Arabidopsis thaliana: one gene and its partner. The protein of the gene in region 2 interacts with the protein of the main gene of each other region in a pairwise test. Each region holds a gene or a part of one and is shown on either strand. Other genes may lie near its edges.

Region 1 (4,590 bases), on a different chromosome or scaffold from region 2:
ATGACGAGCTTGAAGCTAGGATAATCTACGGTTTGTTGGTTAGGTAGAGCCTGAACAAGATATCACAACAAAATTCAGTAAAATCCGAAAAAAGAAACATCAACGAAATTAAGCGATCTCGTGAGATCTAAATACTACAAGACGAAGAAATCGGGAAAAGAGAAGAGAATGTTCACCATGTGAGAGGAGAAGCGAAGTCAGACGTTGATGTCGTCGAGGTTTAAGAAGCGATGCGGCGAGAGGGACTAGGGAGAGAGATGGGGTTTTAATAAGGAGAATTTTGGGAGGTTTTGGCTTAGGTTTGACGCTATTTTTTCCACCGTTAGATTCCATCTTTTGGCTCTCCAATATCTACGCAGCTTTCTGCACCGTTGGATCTTTTTTTTTTCAGCTTTAGGTCCTGGTTTTGAGTTTTGACAAAATAAATAATATATTTATTTCCTGTATCGTATGTGAAGTTTTGATTTTATTTGTAGCATAGTTTTTTACTAACAAATCATTTAAATAAGGATTTATTGTCCGTAACGGATAGTTTCAAAATTTCAAGTACTCACTCACATGACATCCATCTAATGATGCCTTTCAAATTTAATGGTAACATATTAATACCAACAATATTTCCAGAAATTAATATACACATCGATAAATTCTTAAGCTCAAACTTGCAGAAATTGGTCTTAGAGCTCACGGTTGAAGAAAATGTCTGGAATCACGGATTGAAATCGGTCGTTGATTTGAGGGAAAGGGTTACTTCATTCTTCAATGCAAGAATGGTTGCCAAACAAAAAGTTATCCGATTATTATTCTACAAGTTCTGGTGCGGATTGATTAAGAAGATCAAGTTTCAAAGAAGAAAAGGAAGAGGATTGCAGAAGAATCTGCAAAGCTAGAGAGATCGGGGAAGGCAAAGAACTTAACCATTGTCAATGCAGGTCAGGTCTCCCAACAAGATCTACTTGCAGCTAATTTTACCCAGGTTTATATGACATCACCTGGTAGCTAAAGAGTGGCATCTGAAATCTAAGAACTGGCAAGTAATAGGAGGTAGAATAAAGTTTTCCAATCAACTAATATTCTTGCGAAGAAACAACTTAGCTTTGGATACCATCAGAAGAACCATCCAAAAATACATACCTAATTTTTGTTATAAGAAAGACCGATTGATTTATATGTAACACCAAAACAACATAGAGAAAACCAAAAGGAACAAGCAAGAGCTTCCCACGGCAGACATTCTAGAAGGATGATTTACTCAAAGATATCATCATCGTCATCGGGGAGGGGTTGAGCTGCAGCCTGTAAGAGCTCGGCCTCGTTCTTCTGCTGATCAGCAATGTCAATGTGAACCTCTGGTGGAGCAAGCGCTGGTGTCTCCACAAAGTGAAGGTTTTGGTCTCCAGCCAGTTTTCTAGCAAGGTACAAGAAAGGCTTCTCAAAGTTGTAGTTGCTCTTTGCTGATATCTCATAGTACTGCAGATTCTTCTTCCTGTGGAATGTAACCTGCTTTGCCTTCACTTGCCTGTTCTTCACATCAACTTTGTTCCCACACAGAACAATCGGGATGTTTTCACACACCCTGCAGAGATCACGGTGCCATGTCGGAACATTCTTGTATGTGAGCCGTGCTGTGACGTCAAACATTATTATAGCACATTGACCATGGATGCTGCAAGAAATTCAAAGATGATTAGCTATACATCCAGATGGAATATCAAAATTAAAATTCAAGTTCTACTCTATTTGTCCAGGTAACAAAATCAGTTGCAAACTATGCATACTTCAAAACATACCAGTCTTATACCCATTGTCCAGGTTAATCGGTTGCCAATTTCAAATCCTAACCAGAGCTAATCCAAACTAAGCACACTCTAGATTGACTCTAGACACTAACCTATCAATGAGAAAGTAAAGGGTCCACACTTACTAGTATCCATCCCTAAGGCCACCAAATTTCTCTTGTCCAGCAGTGTCCCAGCAGTAAAAACGGATCTTGCCACAGTTTGTGAAGAAATCTAATGGATGAACCTCCACACCAATAGTAGCTGCAACAAACAAGATTACGACTCAAAATCAGAATCATTTAAGAGACATGAAGAACAGAAATCTGAACATTCACAAGCAATACTTACGTTCATACTTCTTCTCAAACTCCCCAGTAAGATGTCTCTTAACAAAAGTAGTCTTCCCTGCACAACCACCAAAAGCAATCAAAGGTTTAGCAAAACAATCAAAACACATTACCATACTTGAAATCAATTGAGCCACTGGATACAACAGTACGGATTATAAAGAGTCGACTAGCAAAATCTGCTTAGCATATGAGCCTATCTCTATCACCCCAATCACCATCAACGTAAATCCAAGCATTGATTAATCGATAAAAAAAAACACGGCGAAGAGTACCGTACCTGTGCCTCCATCACCAACAATGACAAGCTTGAAGCTGGGATAATCTACGGTTTGCTGGTTAGGTAGAGCCTGAAAAATATATCCACGACGAAATTAGAAACTAGAACATGGAAACATCGACGCAATCTCGTGAGATCTGAGACGGAGATAATCCTAGATCAAGGTATACAATCTGATAATACACGAAGAAGAAATCGGTAAAATCGAAGAGAACATGTACCATGTTTTCGCAATCGCGAGCTAGAGGAGAGCGAATTCAGGCGATGGTGTTAAGAAGGAAGCGGCGAGAGGGAGAATGAAGATGGAGAGGGAGAGAGAGATTGGGGTTTTTAAAAGAGAAATTTGGGAGGGTTTGGCTTTGAGTTGACGCTACACTATTGGCCGTTGGATTCTTTCTCTTTGGTTCTTCTGCAATTTTAACGCAGCTTTCTCCACCGTTGGATCTTTTTCTAGCTTTAGGTCCACGCGTACTCATTCATCGGCATTGATTTTTCTTTCCTTTTTTCACATTTAGCAAATTTTGAAATTAAATTCATTACAATATATACGCGTTGGTTTTGACAAAATAAATTATTTATTTTCTTTATCATATTTATACCTCAATTTTTAATAATAGACACCATTCATCAATAAGGATTTTTATTGTTCATAACGGATAGTTTTCAAATTATTCTTGACACATGCCAGATGGGTTGAATTTCTAAATTAATGTACACTCCAAATTCAAATCACTCACTATTGACCTCAGCGGTGGATCTCAGGTACAAAGCTATGTCGATTATTTTGTCTCAAACAATCTTTTAGTTGGTTTTCTCTTTAAGCTAATGAGACTGAGTTGGAGAAGAATATACTCTTAAGATGTAAAATGTAAGCTTGGTTGAATCGAAGATGTTATGCTGAACAACCATTTGAATGAATAGAAACTAGTGTACAAACATTGTTTAGAAAAGCTTAAAGCGCTAGCCGAAAAGGTTTCAGAAAGAACCACAGACAGTAGAGAAGAAATAATCGAAATTAATCTGTGACTCTGAAATTCCTACTTCCAGAGCTTACGCAGAGACATGTTCTTCTCTGTGTCTTTCTTCATTACCTTCGCCACAGCCATCTCAAAGTCTTCCTGAGTCACATGTACTCTCCTCTCACGAAGTGCAAACATGCCCGCCTCCGTGCATACAGCCTGACCGTAATAACCAAAAACATTAGAGAGAGACAGATTGGAGAGAACAAGACAGAAGCAGGGACAGAGAAACACTTACCTTCAGCTCAGCACCTGAAGCACCATTCATCTTCTCTGCAATCTTTTTCAGATCGATTCCACGCATCAAATTCATTTTCCTTGAGTGTATCTTCAAGATATCAAAACGTGACTGCAACACATATTAGAAATATACATTAGCCAAACCGTCCTGCCTCACTTTGGGTACAATAAGTATGGAGAAAAGTATTTTACGCAGTAAATGATAGTTTACCAAAAACAACGGAGTGAGCAAAGTTGCTACTTCAAGTTTAAAGTTATTTCTAATATCATGTCCTAAGAAACACAAGCATTACCTCTTCATTAGGATTAGGAAATTCAATTTTCCTATCAATCCTTCCAGGCCGGAGAAGAGCTTGATCCAGAATATCAATACGATTTGTAGCCATCAAAACCTGCAACAGTCATTTAAGAGAATTAACAACTTTGTCTGCGAAATTCAGAGTAACACAGAGTTATCCTTTTCAGCTTCATGACTATTTTTTCATTCACAACATAAGGCATACCTTGATTTTGTTTGACGCCTCGAATCCGTCAAGTTGATTGAGAAGCTCAAGCATAGTCCTTTGCACCTCACTGTCACCATTTCCACTACCAGATTCCATACGAGCAGACCCGATACTATCGATTTCATCCATGAAGATGATTGATGGTGCATGCTCCCTGAAAACCATAAGCCAGAGGTACTAGAAAGGTAAGCTAGCTGGAATAAGTATTTTTCAGCACAATGAAGATGATTAATGGTGTATACTTTGCTCATTACAAAAGACTATTACTGTGGCCTAAATGCTAGGCATCGAGACTACTTGTAAAGATCATTATGCTTGAGATCGTATACATGTTGAAACCATATTCATAGCAGGAACAGAGAACAATTTACTCAATTTATTTTACTCCACATGTCCACTACAGCTACTAAGCACGGG
Region 2 (8,022 bases):
GCAGTGCTGGTAGAGCTACGCTTTTGTGATTCAAGAGGAAACTGCAATCCAATTTGTTTTTTCCCATTATTATCTATTTTATCCAAACAACTTTTAATCTGAAATATAGATGTAGTATACTTACCCCACCATAGAGTTGGATCTGAACGCATGCAAATCCGTGAGAGTGGACATGTCCACACGACCAACATGTCCTGAATGTTCCAAAACTGGAACTCCTGTGTTTAGTCCAGGAGAAGCCATTGTTGAAAAGAGAGTCGCAATCTCCCGAGTTAGATCTCTTAACAGTTTTTCCTCCATCACTTCAAGTTTCATGTCTGATCCACTTTGTATGCCAAACAAGTCCGGAACCTTTGCTCTGCCCTCTTGTAGAAGACCTGGCCAGGCGGAGCTGAGAGCTTGCTGACAGTGTATAAACAATGGGTGCAGAAGCACTCCCAGCCATGACTCCCACATATCCGCCGGACAAGATTTGACTATATAAGTTATAAAGGTATGAATAAACAGCCGAATGTGCCTGAATTCCATCGACTGCAAATTTTCCATGAGTGCCATTGCAACATAGTTAGCATCTAAGCATTTAAAGAATGTCTCTCCGATGGTTGTTGATAGGCCCAACACGTTGTATCTAAACATGTAAACAAACACTTATGAGTTTAGATAAATGAGAGAAAAATCAAATGATCAATGCAAGGCTTGCTCAAAGGAGGATACAACAAACTTACCCACAATCTCGGATACCTTTCAACCAATTTCGTATATCAGATTCACTTGCCTCGGCTTGTCCTTCCTTAGTTCCTTCGAATGACCCATCAGCATAAACCGATACGCCTTTTGACAATTTAGGATTTGCTTCACCAAGGAGACTGTATCGCTCAGCATCAGTCATTGTCATTGCCGCCCTCATTTCTGGGGGTAATGTTTGAAATACAGAGGGAGACCAAAGGGAATGAAGAACACGGAGTAGCTGTAGATGTAAAAAAATGAATGTTGTCATGTTATTCTTGCAAAAACGAAAACGAAAAAATCATCCCAATATGGCACTAAGGAACTTAATTATGAATTATACTAAGCATGTCCACATTTCCAGGCCATACTTTTAAGAGGGGTGGCAACATCCAAGAAAGATGATGAGCCATAGGATGTGAAGCTGGAGTTGTCGCAGAGGTCGTGTTCAAATTGCTTTTTCTGTATCCACTTCGCTTGAGTGCTTTCTCAAAGAATGTAACAGTGTGGTATATGGACCACATGAAGGATGTGTTGGAGCATAAACGAACAAGACCCATCGGGTCTGATAGATAATTGTTCTGCCACTCTGGTTGGATCCACTGTTGACTCAATGGTTCCAATAACCAAGCCAGAACTTCTTGCTGCTGTTGAGCTCTGCGCCAAGATTAGATTATATCTAAGAACATGACAAATCTGAAGCAGGAGATATGCAATATAGTAAACTTCATTTTTGAATCAAACATTACCCTGCTGAGGAAGCCATAACAAGAAATGCTTCACCCAGAATGTTATGCTCCCCACGGAGTAAAGTTCCTTCTTTTGCCAAGTACCCCATTGTATCAGCAATACCCTGCACAAAATTATGACAGTATGACAGTTGACATGACTTTTTTGTGCTATAGATTATCCAGAGAGGCCACTAAGAAAATGAAAAATAAGAATTCTGCCACCAAAATGATAAAGGTATCTTCCCCAGAGAGAAAGTAGCCATATAATGTCATAAATCATGATACTCGAGAGTATGATAAAGGTATCTTCCAGAGAGAAGGTAGCCATAAAATTGAGTGGTGGTATATCCATATATCACACCGCACAAGCTTAACTAAACATAAATTCTTCAAACAATTCTCCAACGTTTACTGATATGAGTTCCTAAATGTAGTTTGTGAGAGATCAAAGCTACCTTCATGTGAGGCAGAACACTTTTTTCTGCAGCTTTGGCTATTCTTATGAAAGATGTGCAAATCTGCAATCTTGCAGCTCTAGATGTACTAGTAGCTGGATCCTGCCAAAGAAACAAGCTATTAGATAACTCATCCACACCTTGACATGTGCAATGTCAAAAAGTTGAAAACGTCTTATTTGTATATACGAGCGCATGTATGTAAAATAAATACAAAAATAATAAAAATAAACCTTCACAACGTGTGGAAGAGAGGTGAGAAGCTCAAATAATTTATTGATGAGACTTCCAACTGCATCTGGAAAATACTTGAGAAAGGGACCCATTGCATCCAGATAGTGGACATGCACTTTCATAAGTTCTGGTTCATTCCATTTCAAAGAGAGAAGCTGCTGAAGCAATCCTGGGCCATCAACAGCACAATACCGAGTATTAGTATTGTACAAGCCCAGACATAGTAAACAAAACTTGAGAATGTGAATAAATGCTGCAATATACCCTCAAATATTCCACGTAATGCATAATGAACTTCAGAACTTCCACCAGCAAACTCATTTGATCCATCAAAAAGCGTTGCCACAATACAGTCAAGTGCTAATTGCTGGCTGTCCATCACTGCTACATGCTGAGAATGTTTTTACCATGAGTTTAAATAAGAACTGGATCATCAAAGAGGCCTCCATATAGCAGAAATCTAAGAGTGCATGTTTGTCAAAGGAAGTCAACAGAGGAAAACAAGTGCTCGAGACAAAACCTGAAGAGGAGCTGGAGAAGCCAATAGGTGCTTAATGAGTGTAATCACCCTTTCAGATATTTTGGTACTGGAGATGAGAGGCTTGTGAGAAGCAGTAAGCTTGATCAATTCTAGCTGCACGAAAGAAAGAAGTTTCTAGTTAAGTGTTTTTCTGGAAAGTAATACCCAATGCATTTGATTCAGGAACATACAAGCTTTGATCGGTACGGGCCAAAGTCTCCCTTCCCTTCAAATTCATCACTCCAGAGTTCTAGGGGCCCAAGCGAAAGAGCAATTCCAGTAGGAACTTTTTCTTTCTTGAGCATCCGCTGGAAAGATACGTCCAGTATAGCGCTCGAGATGTCATCATTAATAAGACTTAAAGTCTTTTTCTTTTCACTATCAACCTGGCTTGAACTATCATCACCGCCAGTTGATGATCCCCCACCACTTGGATAAGTCGCAGCCTTGGGTTTTGGAAGTAAATCCCGCATCAGTGACTAAAACCCAAAAGGAAAAAGACGCTGAAATTAGCAGCAAATATGTCTGTCTTAGAAATTTCCCAATGAAGAAGGTTGGATTAGAGAAGACCACATACCAGCCAAAAGAGAAGTGCCTCGAAGTGAAGGCCCAACTTGAAGTGTTGGAAAAAGCCAAGCATCTATACCAATACAAACGATTAAGGCAACATAAACACAACATGATTATTTTGTGGGGAAAAAACACTACTAATGCATAATATTATTGCTAACATGAATAGAACGATTTTAAAGTTATAATTGGCTTAGATCCCTCAAAATATATCAGCAAGCATTCAAAATTTAGTATACACTTGGAATCGGGTCATTCAAGAACTAAAATAATATCTCAAACTTATTCTGTTTCAGAATGCCATTGCAACACAGACAGCGGGTTTTTTTCCAATATAAATTAATAGCTCCACCTTCTTCACTGAAAACATCCATTTAAGTATCAAAATAACACATTAAAAATACGAGATCAGTACCTGCTGAAGATAAACAGCCATAACACCACCATCAGAAGAGATGCTTTGCAAGTTAGTTGAGCCTAAAGAGGCCATACTCTCACACATGCATACAGCAAAATCATAATCATTGTCATCTATAACGCTAGAACTTGAGGAGGATCTACATAAGAATTCTCTGGAGGCATTCGTCAGAATCTGAAACAAATTGCTAATTGCAGAATCGAACTCTGCAGTAGAAGCATCACTGGGTCTTTTTCTGCAGACAAGAAAAGCAAACAAAAATTAAAGCTGTCTATTCGTGCTCACGTAAGCACATCAGATCAAACAACCCAGTTGCATACCTTGAGCAGACGAGTTTGAAAACCTCACAAGCATGAAGACGGAAGTCAGAAGAAGAAAGTAAGAAGCTGCACCTGTTATGAGTATCCGAGCACGTCATCAGCAAGATATAATGCAGGGCTAATATCAATATAACAATCTTCTTAAGGGTGTGAACAAAAATCGTACCCACTAAGAATTCCATATCTGGCAAGATCTGGAACAGGAGCCCACTCAGTGTATGCAACGATGGCATTCAAGCAAGCTATAACTACATCTGCATGCTGTTTTGCCAAGTCAAAGTGCTGCATACCAGCTTCACTCATTGCAGCTCCAAAGTGTCTCTCAAGAAGCTGCATTTTTGGTATATTCAGCAAATTACCACAGCAACAAAACAACTTTACTGAAAGGAATTTATCGGTGGCATACATTATACAATAAAGGCAAAATCTCAGGCAACGATTGAGTAAGTCCCCGCAACAATAGCCTACGCCTGTCACCTGAAGAGATGTCCAATACAGAAGTTAGACAGGAGGATGAAAAGATTTATAACCCAAAAAGTGATATGCATTTTTGGATTGAGTATAACTAAACTGAAAAGCATAAGGTGAGCACAAAAAATTACAAGACTAACAAATATTAGCATACGGGTCTGTCCATAACCGATTCAATTTGGCTTAACCTAAACTTCAAGATTAGAAAAAGCTTCCCCCTGTGGACAGACTACTACGAAAATAAAGTGTATGCTAATCGTAAATACCTTCCAAGTCGTCATTGTAAATTGTAATATCTTCAGGAAGCCATCTAAGAGTCATCAATACCAATTCAGCCTATTGTTTAAGAAAAGAAGATGGGAACACTTTCAATGATTGCCGCGATAAATAAAACACTAAAGTAAATAAATGAAAGAACATTTTACTTGTAAGGGGCCCTGAGCAGACAATGAAGTTAATAAAGTAAATATCTCTTGCCAACGATCAGGGCCTTCTCTTCTAACAATCTGCAAATAAGATAAAGATATCAATCTGAGAAAGTGAACGGGAACAAGTAGCAATGATCATAGCAAGTGAAAAAAACTCGGACCAATTAGAACTCTTACCTCAGCTACAAGGGCAGCAGACTGACTCTTAAGAGGCCAATTCTCGCTTGCATTAGCAACCTCTGACATTAGTTCGATAGAAAGATTAACAAGACCCCTGCACTCCGGAGGACTTAATTCGTCCCATCGTAGTCTAACCAAATGCTGCAAAAGAAAGATAGCTTCACCATAAGGTTTCTTCTATGCTCTTGCCTTCAGAACCTAAAATTGTGATTTATAAGTAAAAGAAAATAAAAAATCACAAACCTGTAGCATCTTAAAAGCATGGAGACGAATTTCTGAAGACCACTCTTTTTTCACAAGATGAAAAGAAGTCTTTGCCAAAACCCTGACATCTCCAGATTTTACCTGCAAGTATTTTTCAAAGACCGCACATTACTCAATCAAACACCATCATAACAGTGCACCAACTTTCAACAGCTAATTGAACAAAATTAGGTTAAGATAATAAACAACTCTTCCGACAACACAGTTTTATCTTTCTGACCAAAAAGGTAGGAAATTTCCAATTAGAACCAACTCGAGCTCAATCAATCAATCAAATCAGACAAAAAAAAACGTTTGCGTATATGTTCCAAGAGATCAAATCATCGAAACGAATAAAAAGCTCAATTTTTTAATTAAACCCCAAAGTACAACAAATCCTCCTTTAAGCTTGATCACACCAGCTACATCATCATTATATGCAACATGCAACATAAGTACGCAAATCGATTACAGAAAACTAAAAGCGAGCAAATTGAGACAGAACAAATTACAGAATCCAGGAATTGGACCGCCGATTTGCGAGTGTCGGACGTGGAGCTGAAATCGACGACGGCGAGAATCGCTCGAGCCACATTACTTGCCGTGGAGTTGCTATCTTCCATTACTTGCGACGAATAATTACCAAAAGTAGAGATTCCCACACTTTCTTCTGCAACTCGTCTTGCAGAATCTCTGATTTGGCTTTGGGTTTTGGGGTTTAGAGCAAACGCATCGGTAGTTTCTTAATAGAAACTCTAACTATTAAAGACAAGAAAAACAAATAAAAATTAAAATAAAGATGAGAGAGAATCTCTAAAATTCCTAAATCAAAGATCGATCCTATAAATTCACATTAGTGGTTTGCATATATTAAATAAATAGAATATAATTATAAAATTAAAATATTATTATTTTTTGATTTTGTAGAAACTTTCACGATCCTAAGCGTTGGAGTTGCTCTTATGTCTCTAAATTAATAAGTTTTAGGTCTCTCTATATACGAAAGCTACGATTTTTATTGGCATCTATACCAATATACATATTTTCAATTTCAAAAACATTTATATTACGTCAACTCTTACAATAATGACGTAGGCTTCTAGAACAATAAATATAAGGATCAAATAAATAATTTACATAGAATGTAAATTAATTCCTCTCATTTCTGTGTTTTGTCAATTCTCTTGTACAATACACATAACAACCAAATAAAGAACATATAACCCACCAAAAAGATAAAATTTGGAATTTTGTTTTTTTCTCAATCTATCAAAAAGGAAACTTTTGAAATTTGGAGATGAATAATAATTATTATCTCAAACAACGATTCTTTTGCCTTTGACCTTAGAAGCCATTCTTCTCTCTTTGTTAATATCGTTTCTTCTCCTTGTGGTTGAGTCAGGTGCTCCAATGGGAGCCAAAGGGCCTGACCAAGTTTGAAATGGCTCTTTGGAGTATGATGATGTGAATGAGTTTGTGCTATACGGTATCTCTGATGGATCCAGTCGCCTTGAAGATCCCACCTGAAAACCGAGTGACCCGTCTTGATGCGGTGGAGGAAACTTCTCGCTCTTGCTCTTTGCATTCGCGTGTGTGATCATACGCATCCTCTGTTTTAAGAGAACAAGTTCAAAGTACTCAAGACATTAACCAATCAAAGATTCACTTCTTTTTTTGTTTTAAATTCTTACATCAATGTTAGACTGGTTCTCGGCGTTGGCTTCAGGAGCCGGCATTGCTCTTGGGGCTCGTTCTCGGGGTCTCATTCTTCTTCCGCTCTCTCCTTGGGCCTTGCGCGCTTCTCTTTGTCTGCAGAAATGAATACATCTCTCAAGCAACCATATACCAAACCAAAACATATTCTGACTAAAACTGAGATTGTACCAAACCTATCCATACTAGAACAGAAACGCTTTACCTCCGATACTCTTCGTCTCGTCTCTTGGCATCAATCTCTTTACTTGGAGGATATTTCGGGAGATCAGAAGGTTGACATGCCAATGGCTCCGTCGTGAAGAACTGCACAACAACAACAACAAAATCGGCCATGGAAGTTTTAACCACTATCAAGTCACACGCCTAAAGATTCACAAGTTCCAAGCATTTTTCATTCTTAGCGTCACTCTCATTTCTGTAATCTAACTTGATACCCCTAACTAGTTTGTTCTATTCAAAGTTTCAAAATTTCCATTGCAAAAAACTTACATCACTCATCAACACATCTGTAGCTGTCTGGCGTTCAGCTGGATCGAGCGCTAGAAGCGTATCGAGTAGAGAAAGCGCCTCAGGAGAGAAATCTTTGTAAACCTCTCTTATTCTTCTCTTATACTGTGGTAAAGGCTTGTGATGAGCATGCTTATGAGTAGAAGGAAGTCTAATCTTCTTCCAATATTCTTCTGAAGGCGATCCACATAACTTATATATCCTATGCAACTGCTCGACCTGCTCGTGAACATTAAGCCAGTTCACATTTCATATGAAATAACTCAAATCGGAAAGAAAAAGATCATTACTTGAGAACTAACCTCGTTACGACCTGGCATTATCGCTCTACCAGCTAATAACTCAGCTAAAATGCAACCAGCACTCCACAAATCAACTCCGACACTGTACTCAACAACACCATGAAGAAGCTCTGGTGATCTGTACCATAAAGTAACAACCCGATTCGTCATCTCTTGCCTCTTACTCGCATCAAAAAACGTTGCAAGCCCGAAATCACCTAT

Evidence for each region.
Region 1: the proteins of HST (region 2) and RAN-1 interact in a two-hybrid assay, tested with the Arabidopsis thaliana proteins (one study listed by BioGRID).

The regions. Positions count from the first base shown.
Region 1 is NC_003076.8:6,758,406-6,762,995, reverse strand, and holds RAN-1 (RAS-related nuclear protein-1), read right to left. Parts: upstream 2,903-4,590; 5' UTR 2,633-2,902; coding exon 2,630-2,632; intron 2,479-2,629; coding exon 2,409-2,478; intron 2,187-2,408; coding exon 2,130-2,186; intron 2,043-2,129; coding exon 1,925-2,042; intron 1,667-1,924; coding exon 1,249-1,666; 3' UTR 666-1,248; downstream 1-665. Other genes in the region: RAN2 (RAS-related GTP-binding nuclear protein 2), read right to left, coding at 1-50, 177-179; AT5G20000 (AAA-type ATPase family protein), read right to left, coding at 3,446-3,586, 3,666-3,776, 3,961-4,059, 4,171-4,327. UniProt on the Arabidopsis thaliana protein: GTP-binding protein involved in nucleocytoplasmic transport. Required for the import of protein into the nucleus and also for RNA export. Involved in chromatin condensation and control of cell cycle.
Region 2 is NC_003074.8:1,402,177-1,410,198, forward strand, and holds the start of HST (ARM repeat superfamily protein), read right to left. Parts: upstream 6,115-8,022; 5' UTR 5,920-6,114; coding exon 5,809-5,919; intron 5,399-5,808; coding exon 5,297-5,398; intron 5,195-5,296; coding exon 5,051-5,194; intron 4,952-5,050; coding exon 4,871-4,951; intron 4,782-4,870; coding exon 4,712-4,781; intron 4,452-4,711; coding exon 4,381-4,451; intron 4,305-4,380; coding exon 4,141-4,304; intron 4,047-4,140; coding exon 3,975-4,046; intron 3,890-3,974; coding exon 3,652-3,889; intron 3,307-3,651; coding exon 3,244-3,306; intron 3,146-3,243; coding exon 2,858-3,145; intron 2,781-2,857; coding exon 2,667-2,780; intron 2,538-2,666; coding exon 2,411-2,537; intron 2,316-2,410; coding exon 2,146-2,315; intron 2,015-2,145; coding exon 1,913-2,014; intron 1,580-1,912; coding exon 1,476-1,579; intron 1,384-1,475; coding exon 1,098-1,383; intron 968-1,097; coding exon 726-967; intron 629-725; coding exon 125-628; intron 42-124; and 1 more. Other genes in the region: AT3G05050 (Protein kinase superfamily protein), read right to left, coding at 6,613-6,906, 6,988-7,105, 7,215-7,315, 7,502-7,738, 7,822-8,022. UniProt on the Arabidopsis thaliana protein: Nucleocytoplasmic transporter involved in the nuclear export of microRNAs (miRNAs). Required for several miRNAs accumulation. Specifically required for miR156 accumulation which targets SPL3, SPL4 and SPL5 transcription factors.